Bombyx mori: one gene and its partner. The main gene of each other region encodes a partner of the protein of the gene in region 2 in a complex. Links are inferred from orthologs where the notes say so. Each region holds a gene or a part of one and is shown on either strand. Other genes may lie near its edges.

Region 1 (6,581 bases), on a different chromosome or scaffold from region 2:
GCTTGTTACTAGATTTTTAGTAGTATTTTCTTTAATTTTTTGATTGTCATTAATATAATTATCGTGAAATTAAGCCAGATTAGTAACTTATTTAAAGTATTTATTTGGTTTCACTGATACTACAAACACAACCAAATCTGATAAACATGACATGGAAAATAAAAAAAACGGTGCAAAAATCTTGAATTTAATTGAAAAAAGGAATATTTTTAGGAATTATTTACCTTTTCTTGTTCTAAAGCAATCATTCATGTACCTAAATAATAGAATAACTTATTTATTAATGTAGACACTGGAGCGTTCAAAGTTAATTCTCGACTGCCGCAGTGGAAGATCTTCATCGGACATATTTAACAAACCACATGACATGATCGTAGCGTAAGGACACATACGCAGGCTTAACCGCTTCATAAACCTCACCCAAGACTTAAACCTTATGAAGATGTCTATTTCCTCTACAATTTATTTTCCTGGGTAATTGCTAAACACTAGCTAGACTATAAAAATATTTATGGAAACAAAAATAAAACTAACGGAAGGTAGAAACAAAATTGAAGTGTCTGAGAATTTCTCATGTCTCTCTTCAAACCGTCCAAAGCTCTTGAGAAGAAAATTCCAAAATCGTAATACATTTTAGATTTTGTCATTGTCCAAACTGTCACACTGAAGTTTCAGCGTATATTTTCCACTTCTCATACAGCAATACGAAATATATTTTTGAGAATGTTCAGTCGAGTTTCGGCATCGTTGCCTTTTAGAATAATGTCAAGCGCTTCATCCTTAACATATTTTATTCTGTCTATCCAAGTGTTTGCTTTGAGCAGGCCGATAAATTTAACATATATGTACATATTTCGTGAATAAAGTGTAGATGGGCATAGTGTATGCCATTTGCCTTTTGATACTTGAGGTCGTTGTCTCACTTTTATTGGATTTATGGGGCTGAAATAATCAGGATGTTAGCGAACAGGCATGCGTTCGGGTTCTATACATATCGCCATCCACAAAATTTATAAATTTCAACCTGGAATTCGTTTTTGTTACGAGCAGAATTTCGAAGCAAGACATTTATAGCCTTTGAACCCATAGTAGTGTAACACAATGCGAGTACCTTTCCAGTACATTTTCCTGCCCGAATAGAATAACATGTAATAGTATGTTAACGATGAGGTATATGTCTATAAATTACAAGATATATCGTCGGCTTATTGCAAGAACTTAAAAATATTTTGCGTCTACCTTGTTGAACAAAAATGTGATAGCCGAAAACGATAATGTATATGATGATAATTAATTATACATTTAATCCACTTATCTTCGGTTCTTCTTGCTGTCGAGGGTCACCACTGTAGAAGTAGTTGTATTAGTTCTGCTTCTAACTGTATTAGGTAGGCGCTGACACGAAGGGTGTTTTACACAGTGAGTATGAATATGTACTGCTTTGAATAGTTTATTGAAGATAGCAATATTCACAAATAAACTATGACAAGAGTGGTACGATAAAGAATTAACTTAAAGAAGTAGTAAAGCACTGACACGAACGATGGGTAGCACAGCAAATATCGATGAGTACTGCCCGCAGTTTCTTAAGATTCCGAAGTGTTGAACAATAATAGATGATTGCCTGAATTCATAAGCGACAGCGATTTCGTCGAATTGTAAGGCGGTTGCCCAAGTAGTGGCGAGTAAGTGAGTCGCCACAAACTCATTAACTGCAAAAAATCACTAAATACGTTTTTATCTATAATGGCCTCATTTTTGCATACCGATTTCTAGCTGGCCAATTTTGGCCGTTACGTCTTTGGCAGAAAATTGATAATTGCAACTTTGGAAGTCAGGCATTTACAAAGATTCACTAAGCAGCACTAGTTATTTTTATAAAATGGATAATTATTTGAAAACAGCATACATTAGATTACAGAACTCATTTTCAGCATGTAATTAATTTTATCAAAACAAGTGTGGTATAATATAGCTTAAAATTGTATTTCGATAAAATTAATTATCTACATTTAGTTAGTTTCTGTAATACATTATTATGTATATGAATGATAAGATCGTATAAGAATGATTATTTTATAAGCTAAATTAAAATTATACTTGGCTGTCACCATGATGCCATGTCATAATTCACTTATGTAGTATCGGGCTAGTTGGCCTTGCCTGTCTTTTGATGCCGACTAAAAAATTATCATGAACACTTTTTAATATCCTTAAATCCATACTACGCCATTTTTACGTTCAGTTCGGAGTAGCAAAAACTGTAAAAACAATCTAATATCATATTGTTAAAATGAGACTAATTTGTCAAAACTGAACGCTCACTTTAATTACAACTAATCCATGAAAAAGCTAGCATTCTTGGAAAAATTTCCATCTAAAATAAAACACAAAGTGGTCTTTTATTTTTATAAAACAATTAACATCAAAGCGAGTGTAATTTACAAGAGATTGATGACTTTTTAAACATTCCATTAATATAATAACACAATAGTTTCAACTAACTCGCAGTCTCGTCTCACAGCATTTTGACGTTTTGTTTAGCATTATTATATCTTTAAAAAATACATTGTCATTTTTTTAGATGTCTGTAAAGTTTTTTTTTACTTGGATTTATAAGATAACGGCGTTCTTCAATGTATGTTCTCGTATGTTCTTCAATGATCTCAATAATAAATAAATAAATATTTACTAACAGTCACGCCACGTTAATTGGTCCCGTGATAAGTTCGTAAAGAACTTGTGTTAAAGGTACCAGATAACGGATATAAATGTAAGATTTTTATTATACACATACATATATTTAATAGACATCCATAACCCTGGAAAAGACATTTATATTTATCATACAAATATCTTCCCTTGGCGGGATTCGAACCCGCGACCCCCTTGTGTAGTGACCATGTCACTTACCACTACACCAGACGGCCGTTAATGACTGATGGATGGATCATAAAATATTTTTACGTTCTATATTCAACAGATGAAATGCAGAAATGGTACACTCGGATGACGATTACTCTCTCTCTAATATCTCTAATAAAGTTACTGACTCTGATTGACCAGAAGATGGACCAGAAGACCAACGGAGCAGTCAAATTTTAGATGGATCCGAAATTAATTGCAAAATACTAGAACAATGCGAGATCGGCTCTCCATAAACATCGACACATTCAAGGAGTAACATTGTAACTCGTATTTCGGCTCGGCTAAAAACCGGTTACAATGTTATTCTCTTGTACTTGTATAATCCAGAAGAAAATATCATACACATCAATCGATGCTTCACAAAAAGATAGGATCCATTATACTCCAGTGTTTTTATTAATGGAGGCCCGGAGGCCTTTCCAGTTTCATCAGGACAGGTCGGCGAACAAAAATTCAGCCAGGAGGGGTGCGATTGGCTAACAGCTACCCGAATGCCTCTAAAGGAGATCTAATAATTCAAGAGCAGCTGCTTCGCGAATGAATCTACTACCGGATCGGAATCGCGACCCGCTGAGAAAATTCGGCGAGAAACTCAGCGAGCTGATGCATCGGTTAGGTTGCACATGGAACTCTTTGCCGAGTTCGACGAGTACGGTTACTAGGGTCCCTAAGCCTGCTCCTAATGTTAGAGCTTAAGGCGTCTAATGTAATAGTTATTAATTACACGCAGTCACACCCACAGATTTTACATACAAGGGTACAACGAATATATTGATTTTAATTTAGGAACATATTGTGTTTCTTTTATTTGTTTAATATCAGGATAAATGGTAAAATTCAAGCTGTCGATTCTTGACTTTGTTTTGTAATTTCTGTCGTCATGAAAAATGTCTGTGAATTGTAAAATCTCAGTCACGTCAATATCTCAGATAATTTAATTAGTGTAGTGTTCAAAAGCCTAAAAGTAACAAGAGTTTTGTTGCAGGTCAGCTGGATCAGGAAGAGGGATCTCCACATACTCACGGCTGGGATTTTGACTTACACATCCGACCAGAGGTTCCAGGTTATTCGGCCTGAGAAGTCAGAAAATTGGACACTGCAGATTAAATTCCCACAGGAGAGAGACGCCGGGATATACGAGTGCCAAGTCAACACGGAACCAAAGATGTCTTTGGCATTTCAACTTAATGTCGTTGGTCAGTATGAAATATAAAAAAAAAAAAATCCGTAGTGATGCGGCACGTTATTTATAAAAAGAGCCAGATCACGAATCCAATGAGGTTTTTCTTTTATTTTATTATTTACCTAATGTAACTCTCAGATCAGAGAACTTGCCAGGTCTGTGGTCTCGCGAGAGCACAAAAGTCACCGCCGCCTCCCGTGAGTGGAGTTAATAATCGCCACGTATTCAACACATTCGTTTGCATCTTCATGACGTATGAAATTAGTTAATAAACATATTAATGTTTTGTTTAATAAATTTTGATCAGTTTGTCTTACCTATTGCATTTTAATATTGACATAATCAATATCACACGAATACTGTTTGAATAATACAGAAATTTGTTAAAAAAAGTAATAACAGAGTAAGTACAAATTTTAATAATTTCATCAATCTTATAAGTCAAGGATAGAACAACAAAATTTTAATATCGAAATGTTACTCTTAACAAAATAGGAGACAAACTAGAATTTAATCTGAGTATTTAGTAACCCCTGATAATTAATCTAAACAAGGTCCTTGACAGTTTCCAATAAAGCTTAGTAAAATCTGGGACCATTAACAGCACAAACTTAAGTTCGTAACGCAAAGTTTGGCACTAAAACCACATTCGCAGTTGATGTAAAATATGTCCGGGATTCCTGGATCGTAAATAAATTTACAGAGGAGACTCCAATAGTTTTATCTGATACATTTTTGTGTCTGTACCACAAGATTTGGACGTTTTTTTTTGTTCCTTTACTAGGCGTGGTTATAATTTAAATTTACAGTTTGTGAAATAATCGATAGCTTCTTCTGTTACATTTTTGAGATCTTCCACTTGGCCTGCGAATTTCGTTATTGAGCATTCCATGACAATGTGGCGTACAGTTTGCTCTGGGCATCTGCATTCACAGCTTTGGTTTTCCGTCCAACCCCATCTCTTCCGCAGTTGGTTACAGTGACCAACTCCGCGATTTAAGCAAGATCTCTAGGCTATAGCCTCATTGACTACTGCTCTCTTACTTATGGTAATAGCTTAACAAATTGCACCAAAATATCTATGCAATTTAAATAATACTACTTCTTCTTAATCATATCCTTCTTGATAGAGTGATCGTAAACGTCTATGTAGCTTTGGACGGAGCAAATTTCACCCATCTTACAAGGCTATACGGCTACAGATTTCCCACAGTGGTTCTGATTTGGTCGATACACCACATTGAAAATAGAATTTAATAAATAATTGTATATAATATTATTCAAACTTATTATTTTAAATCAATAATAGCCTTCAATGGGTTCGATATTCTTATTACGCGCTTATCAAATGTTGCATTAATATTCTATACATCCGTATTTGTTTAAGATAGATAATTTTTTAGCTTTATAATGTATGACTAAATGTCTAAGTGAATTACAAACAAGAAAGTTATCGAAATACAAACTGCTATCGATACGCTAAGCGTGAATGTACCCTTAGGGAGAATGATGTGTTTGACGACAAGTCACAAGTAAACTTAGGAATTTAACAAGAACTTAGGAAACTTGTAGCTTGCTATTTATCGCCTTAGATTTACATAATAATAATTTTAGCAAACAAGATTGTGTTAAAGTTCTGATAAAGCCGTTTCCTAGAACAAAGTACTTTCAAAGTTTTGACAAGGATACGTGGTGTATATTACAAATTGCTTACACAATTGTCGTGGGGCAACTAAAATGAAACACGTTCTACCATACTATAATACAATAATACCAAAATATATGTGATAATTCAATTACTTTTATTTTATTTGATTATGTAAAAAAATTAATTTTAGGATCGCAGACATTTTTTTTTTTATTCTACTCTGTGATTCAACAATTTTGTTGATTCTGCCAGTTAGACCTCTCTAAGATATTTCACATTAAGATAAGTTTCATTTTAATCGACGATAATAATTCAAGGTCTCAATACACAATGTAGTGCTGGTACTATTACATACAACTTGTTTGACACAAGTTTTTTGCGTCTGAAGCTTTATAAATTTGAGAACTTAAGTTTTCGAACATTAAGTGCCCATACTGGTGGTAGTACCTCTTGTAAGCCCGCAGGGGTAGGCACCACTACCCTGCCTATTTCAGCTGTGAAGCAGTAATGCGTATCGGCTTGAAGGGTGGGGCAGTCGTTGTACTGAACTGAGACCTTATAACTCATATCTCAAGGTGGGTGGTGGCATTTACGTTGTAGATATATATGGGCTCTGGTATCCGCTTAACATCAGGTGGGCTGTGAGCTCGTCCATCCATCTATGCGATAAATAAAAAATAGTCAGTCCGATTTTGAGAAAAATACCATGTCATTTTAATTGTCATTTATTTAAGGTTATTAAAATTTGATAAGCGCGTTAAGCTGTTTTGCTAGCTGGCATCCTGCGAAGAACTTTTCGGTAATTATGCTGTCTGGCAAAAT
Region 2 (7,374 bases):
GGTCACCGCGTAGGTCAACTTTCCTTACGAACCACGGAGCTCCGACGGCTAACCTGCAAAAGCGGGATTAGAGGGTCTCTATGTGTGTGCGGGCCGCGTGAGCGAATACCACACTCGCGTAAGTCATGACGGGCCTTTTGCAAATTTTGTAAAGTATCACCTTATTCCGAAGGGACATTTTACTTCGCTTACAGGTCATGGGGTAGAGTCTGCCTAGGATAAAAGCGCGCGCGAAGGTGGACTCGCAGAAGTCGAGCATCGCCTGCCAGGACTCGTCGCTGCCGAGAATCGTAGCCACGACAGTCGGAAGCGACATGTCCGGTACTATTTTCGCAGCGAGGACCCATTAATTATCTGACTCAAGTCAAGTCTAGTCATAAGTGAAAATAAATGGATGAATAAAATACCTTATTCGTCTGTGACCACGAAAACTTTAAATAAAGTATTCGAAATCTTCTTCTTCTTTTTCTCCACCTTATCCTACTAGGTGGGGTCGGCACAGCTAATTTTTCTCTTCCGTTCTCTTTTAACAGCCGTAATCTCAACACTCACTCCTCTCTCTCTTTCATATCGTCATTCACACACTCCATCCATGTCTTCTTCAGTCGACCTCTTCCCTCTCTACCTTGCATTACCATTTCTATACATCTCCTAGTCACATGCATTTTCTCTCTACGCATCACATGTCTATACCACGCTAACGTAAATAAAGAATTCGAAATGTCTGTAAAAGTATTGAAAATGTTTTATTGTGAGACCTGATGGTCTCTACATTTTGAAAGGCTGGACAAGGTTGCAGCTTCGTCTTGTTTGTCCTACTAGACTTCAATCACAAATATCACAGAGAATCACGTTTTTGTCTGTAGAAGTCAGGTAACTGCTCAACATCAGACGGACCGTGAGCTCGTGTACCTACTACCTACTCTACTCGTAGTACAAAACGAATACTATTAGAGCGAAAACGTGATTAGTAGGTAAAAGTATATTTTCAATGTAATCCATTAAGAACATTTAAAAGGCTCTACGTCTGCTTAGAATCTTGAACTGTTATGACTTATGACTGAGCTGTGACATTTGTACGACTTCTTTCATATTCATATTAAAATTCTATTCCATGAGTCACTATACGTTTTCTTTTGTCAAAGAAGTACTTTGTGCTTTACAGGAATTGGAAAAGTATTCATAACCAGTTTAATTTTAAATTTCACGATATGCTATTAAATAAAAGTACCTTTATTAATAAACGCTAATTATAGGAATATTCAATTACAATTATGGGTTAATCCAATTAAATAATGCAATGGTAACAGCAAATGAATCGCGATTTTATCAATTTATTTTTTGAAGCTCAGCAAAGTTATCATAACTCGCATTTGTATTAACTACAATTATAATTTTTTGTATTATAGTATTATTTGTATTTTTTAAATGATTAATTTTAATCAAATAGCCTTAAAAGTATTATTAAAAGTGGAAGTTTGCTTAAAAGTGCATATTATTAAACATTACTGCGCCGGTTGTGTGGTGCTAATATCGCCACTGTTTTCCCTACTTTTCATCGATATGTATTTTTTTTTTATTGCTTAGTTGGGTGAACGAGCTCACAGCCCACCTGGTGTTAAGTGGTTACTGGAGCCCATAGGCATCCACAACGTAAATGCGCCACCCACCTTGAGATATAAGTTCTAAGGTCTCAAATATAGTTACAACGGTAATATGTGGTAATATATCGATGCTACTTTTGCACAAGTAAATTATGCGTTTCGATATGAGACGTAAGATAATATTTTGCCCCTTGTCATTTTGAAATGATCCTGCGTTGTACATTAGCGTAGACATGTCTATTAGATAATGATAATATATTAGGTTCTTAGTAATTATCGTCTGATCAAAATGGACCGTTGCTTAGAGATTAGTATAAGTCGGTACTTAAATATCATAATCATAGTTACTAAGGTCATTCATTAGTGATCTGCGAAGTTTGTTGTAGTAAGAAAAATTTAATGAATGAAGATACAACAATACATTTTAGTTTTGATAAATTTCAGCAAAAGGTTTCCTCTTTATGCTGACTTGCGCTTGAAGAATATCGATGTGCAACGGCAAAGGTGAAGTACTGACGTATGCGAGTATAAATATTAATAGTGGTCTAAGGGTAGGGTGGCCTAGGGGAGTTGCAAGGAAAGGCCCCTCTATTCGCAGAACTCAATCTATGGCGCCGCCTAGACGGACATTAGTTACCTGGAAGTAAAATAAATTATAAGTACGTTGGAATTTACGTGGAAGCATTTAAAGAAATAAAAGTAATGTTTTGTGTGGTTAGTAGTTATGTTGAGTTTTTTGAAAAAAAAAATTGTCAAGGTTTTTGATTATGTGTATTTAGTTGCAGATAATTGCATCACCAACTAACTGCAATGGAGGAGTTATAGTGTTTTCTTGTTACTATTAATGAACTAAAAAAAATGGTTATAGACTAATAGCTATTACATAAATACATTAATTGAAAGAACGGAAGGCTACAGAGCGATGGTAAACTTGTAGATTTGTTATGAGATTTACTGAAAGAGAACAACTTAAAAAAAATGTTTACGTGGTTTAGTTACTTTTTGAATTAAGTATTCTCTGCAATTTCGGTGTACCAGATTTATAAATTTGAAGGTTTGAATTATTTTTCTTCAACCATTCACTCAGAAATACAACGTTAGAATGGTATTAATGGAAATAGTTAGCGAATTGTTTAACCTAACTTCTAACGGGATGAGGCGATTGAAATAAATGTTATTAAAGTCTAAAACGACATAATTGAAGTAATTCTAATGCATATTCCCCATTTAAAAACCTGTTCATTAAAAATCAATTTTCAATGTTGGGGCATTCGTGGGGTTTCCCTCCGGCGTGGCAGTGCGGTTACCGCGTGATATGAATACAATAACACCAAGCACAACTAAGGAAGTAATTTCTCGAATTTCACAAGTAACCAAACGAAAGTTGAAACCTTCGAAGATCGTTTCGAACAATTTCTGCTAAATTGTTAATAGTTATTATGTTACTAGTTAGAGGAGAATCCTTTAGTTTCAGTATTCTGTTACAGTTTATTGTACCGGCCTTGGCTCCAGAATTAGGTTTAAAATGAAGAAATATTAATATAATTTTCACACGTAATAAACTGAGAATTGTACAAAATTGTATTGTTTAAAGGGTTGTTGTATCTGTACACTGTTAAGTTTGTTTCCAAAGGTAATATTAAGATTTTTTTACCTCTGTTCTTTTAAATTATCTTTGTTTTGACCAAATGAGGCGTTATATATTCACCATATCTAATATATCAAAATTAAACGAGTATATCAAAATAAGAAGCATAAAACGAAGGCTGTTTTGTGAACTGTTCGTATGCCTACCTTTTACGAAAAGGACGGCAATATAGTTAGGGGTGGTGCTTTCAGAGGGCAATGGTGCAAACGCCCTGCATCAGTTATCTTGTAGCCGTCGAGGACGGTGGTTGTGTACCGGCTCTTACATTTTGGCTAGGACAAAAACTTTTCTCGTAATCTCGAATATTATTGTTATTTTTGACATCGATCGAGAGCGTACTCTATATTTTCGTGTGTGAAAATTGTATTATAATCTTTTCTTTACGACTCTAACGGAACTGTGTTAAATGAGTTATTATTTTTTTGAATTTATTAATTCGTGATATTAATTTTACGAAAAATATCTTTTTGGTTTCGATAATAATACTTTTCTAGTTCTTTTTGCTTAACGCTAGAACACAACAAAAAATATTCAAGTATGAATTTTAATATTTTTCATGTCATGGGTAACTTAAATCAATTCACGTTGGCAGCTAGCGGAAAAGTTATACTAGCTTTGCTCGTGCTCGATTGGTTTTTGACAACAACGACCGATGCCACGCTGCGTAAGTACTGAACTTTTTAATCCATTTTTAAATCTTAATTTCATATTTTGTAAATAGAAACCAAACTAATCTTTCGCATCTTATTAAATTCTTCGGCTAATGTTAGCGAAATATGTATGATGAATAATAATGATGAAATAATAATAATAATATGAATGAATGAAATAATAATAATAATAAAATAAATAAATAAATAAAGAAATATTTCATTTATGTAAGTCTATATTTTAATTATCAGAAAAATAAAATTGTAAGTGCCATTCGGACAATCGGGTACCTAAAATATAATATTTAATACAATAAAAGATAGTACAAATACAAGTAAGTTGAAATTTAATCACTGGTAGGCAGCGCTTAACGGTAGGCAGCGGCTTGGCATTGCTGAAGTCCATGGGCGACGGTAATCACCCATTATCAGGTGGGCCGTATGCTCGTCTGCCTACACGGGCTATAAAAAAATGGTAGGGCGTATTTGTGAGAAGAGTGTGTAAATAGTTATGAAATAATAGCAAAATGCAATACTCTGACCTTAAGGTAGATCGCAGCATTCTGCGCTGGTGACCACTTAACCAGGCGTACAGTGGAGCCCTTTTTTTATCCTACTTATGCTGATAGCCTCGAGAGGCTATTTCAGCTTCTCCTTGACGTGTAGGGTTCAAATCGGGAGTGTTGCTAACACTGGCCCTAGCAAGAGCAGTGCTTCGCAGAATCTACCACCGGATCGGAAACGCGACTCACTGAGAAGATCCGGCGAAAAACTCAGTGGGCTGTGTCTATGAGTTAATTTACTCGTCGAGCCCTTCGTCGCAAACGATGGGTTCGACGAGGACGGTTACTGGAGTGGAGCCCGTTTGCTAATTTAAATCAGTCAAAAATTAATTCTCATTATTACAAATATTATATATGAAATTTAATGTATAAAATGAAATTTAGTATTTTTTAATTTTAAATTGTAGTCTTCAATCTTTAAGCTAAGTAGATATTTAAAAAAAAGTAGCTATTACGTCAAGTTTCATAGTTATGAACATTTTTTAACGCATCACAGCACTATTAAAATGTTATAAAATAACTGTCTGAGCTATGTACTCTTAACTCAATATATCGGTTAACTTTGAGGTTTGATTTGTTAAATAGTAAAAACCAATATTATTGAACGATTTTGCACAAAAAATATTTTTTAAACATTTTTCAAAATCGATTGTTTTTAGACAGTAAGTAACTAAAACAGAAATATCTTTTATTGATTTCTACGATGTTTCGTATCGTACTGAATTTTAGAGGAAAATTATATTTTAATGAATAGTTGTTATTCTAAAACAATTTTGGTTACTCTATAAATTATTCTATTAAAATGTTACATGTATTATAGTTAAGTACATAATTTGTTTGTTTATATACTCATAAACATGCTCGCACTATCTCAATTCACCCGAAGTTGCAGCAAAGTTAAAACAACAACAATTCAACACAACCTTACAAAGTTTCTGAGTTTTTATCCGACGACCTCATTAGCCGATCTGTTACACCCTCCTCACAATGCAAATAACGCGAATTAGACAGAGAACAGAGATACGTAAGTACTACGCAGCTTATTATTCTGCTTGTCTAATCGTCCCGTCTAAGCCGTAACACGTAACGACATTGAACCTGATTAAATCTGTTGTCTTGTCTTTATATAGATAGCTAATTGGTGAGAATGATACACATTGTTGTCTAGCTGGAAGCCGGCACAATTTGAGTCAATCGACTTAATTAGTTCTTTAAAAGATTCGTACATTTGAATACTAACGAAATTGTGTCACGGCCCATTTATTATCAAACGGTCATCGGATCTGTAGGCGTTGGACGTAAAACTCGAATGACGCGGACTCACACGATATCGAAATTTTCACTAAAAATCTAAAGATTAAACAGCATATAATATATTTATATATGTTTATACACCCTATACTATGCTTTTATACATTAAATAGGTTCGATAAAAATATCGAATCTGACAGGGATCCCGTGGTTGCAGTAGATGACTTTAGGCCGCGCGGATTTGTAGCATGCCCCGCAATTGTATCTCGTGGAATTCGTGTCAGTACTGATTTGTTCAGAAAAGATGATGATTTTGCATGGAAGGATTTCTAGGGGCTTAGATGCCGTTCCAGTTTTACCAGGGTAGGTAGGCTAGCACGGATCAGTCAGAAGGTGTGGGATTACCCAACAGGTGCTCCATTGTCTCCGAAGGAAGCTTAACAGCTTGAAGGCAGTACATGCTAGGAAGAACTGAAAGCGGACCAGGTGGATCTTTCAGGACATCTCTAGTACGTGAGCCAAAGTTTTAGCTGATGGCGGCCATTATAAGAGGGTTATCGTGTCGAGTTGTAGCGTTCCAACGCTGAACTTTTAGCTTGCGGCCCCGGTGCTAAGTGGTTACCAAAGCTTACAGATATCACAACGTGAATGCCGCCGCCCACCCTAGGACATCAGGTTGAAGTCTCAATTGTATTGTACAGAGGCTGTATGGAGCGCATTACTATTTCTATATTGAAGAAATAGGCAAGATGGTGGCACTCATCTATATGAACTCATTACGTCCTACTACCAGTATGCCCCTTGCGAACGCAGTACCCTAGTGTAATACTCAGAAAAAGTTGTTCATTATTTCTCGATGATGTTCGTGGCTTATGATGATGGTTTTCATGATGTTATGACACTAACGAAAATATATTGCTATTCTAGGCCAAGCTTCTGACTTCTGCTGACTGGGAGTATTTAAAACTTTAGGTTTTGATACCTAGGTTGACGTGAAAGTCCTCACATACAACGATACTCCGACAGCTATCCTGAAGAAGTAAAACTGTAAAATTTGGTGCGATTTTATGAAGGCGCGGACCGCATTAGTAGGCACCAAACTCGGACAGGCCACGATTGGATGTATGCAAGTTTTGTACAGTGTCACCTTATTACAGGGTGATCATATTATATGTCAGATTACAGGGGGATATATCAGAGGGATACTTTATGCCGCTTGTAGATTCACAGGGCTACTTCGGTGAGCCTTTTCCGGAACCGGTCCTAGGGTTCCGCTTGTGATCTGAAGTTTTTCGCAAATAATTACATATTTCTCCTAGTGAAGTAATAAACAGTCATGTTATCGGCGAGGAGGGCTAACTGGATCGGCGGTGACCGGGGGCACCATTGATGGATAGATAAACAGTAGCGTAGTAGACTAGCTAAGGTTAGGTGGGGATAAACGAGTTCTTCCAGCCTGGTACCAAAACGAGCGGTTTGATAAGAAGAAGGCTGAGCACGAGACTGTCCTGCACGCTCATGTTGCACAGCTTAAAACTCAAATCCTTGTGCCAAACTTTGTCGAACGCTTTCGCGATATCGAAGAGGATGGCTTCCGTGAATATCAGTTTGTAAGGGTCGAACTATAATGCGATCTTTGTGATTAATAACTGTTATTT

The links.
Region 1: the proteins of opioid-binding protein/cell adhesion molecule homolog (region 2) and zwei Ig domain protein zig-8 are in contact, whole or in part, in a crystal structure (PDB 6NRW), measured with the Drosophila melanogaster proteins. The link is inferred for Bombyx mori from reciprocal best matches to the Drosophila melanogaster genes DIP-eta and dpr1. Residues at the interface, in NP_001188701.2 of Drosophila melanogaster: Tyr72, Lys73, Val74, Ala75, Leu77, Arg78, Val79, Thr81, Gln82, Thr83, Ile84, Ile87, Ile92, Thr93, Lys94, Asn95, Met124, Gln126, Ile127, Asn128, Thr129, Asp130, Met132; in NP_001286645.1 of Drosophila melanogaster: Asp82, Lys83, Ser86, Ile88, Lys90, Asp92, Leu93, His94, Ile95, Ala98, Tyr103, Thr104, Ser105, Asp106, Glu136, Gln138, Asn140, Glu142, Lys144.

What each region holds. Positions count from the first base shown.
Region 1 is NC_085134.1:6,085,925-6,092,505, reverse strand, and holds part of zwei Ig domain protein zig-8, read left to right. Parts: intron 1-3,913; coding exon 3,914-4,124; intron 4,125-6,581.
Region 2 is NC_085115.1:7,129,703-7,137,076, forward strand, and holds the start of opioid-binding protein/cell adhesion molecule homolog, read left to right. Parts: upstream 1-3,470; 5' UTR 3,471-3,789; coding exon 3,790-3,916; intron 3,917-7,374.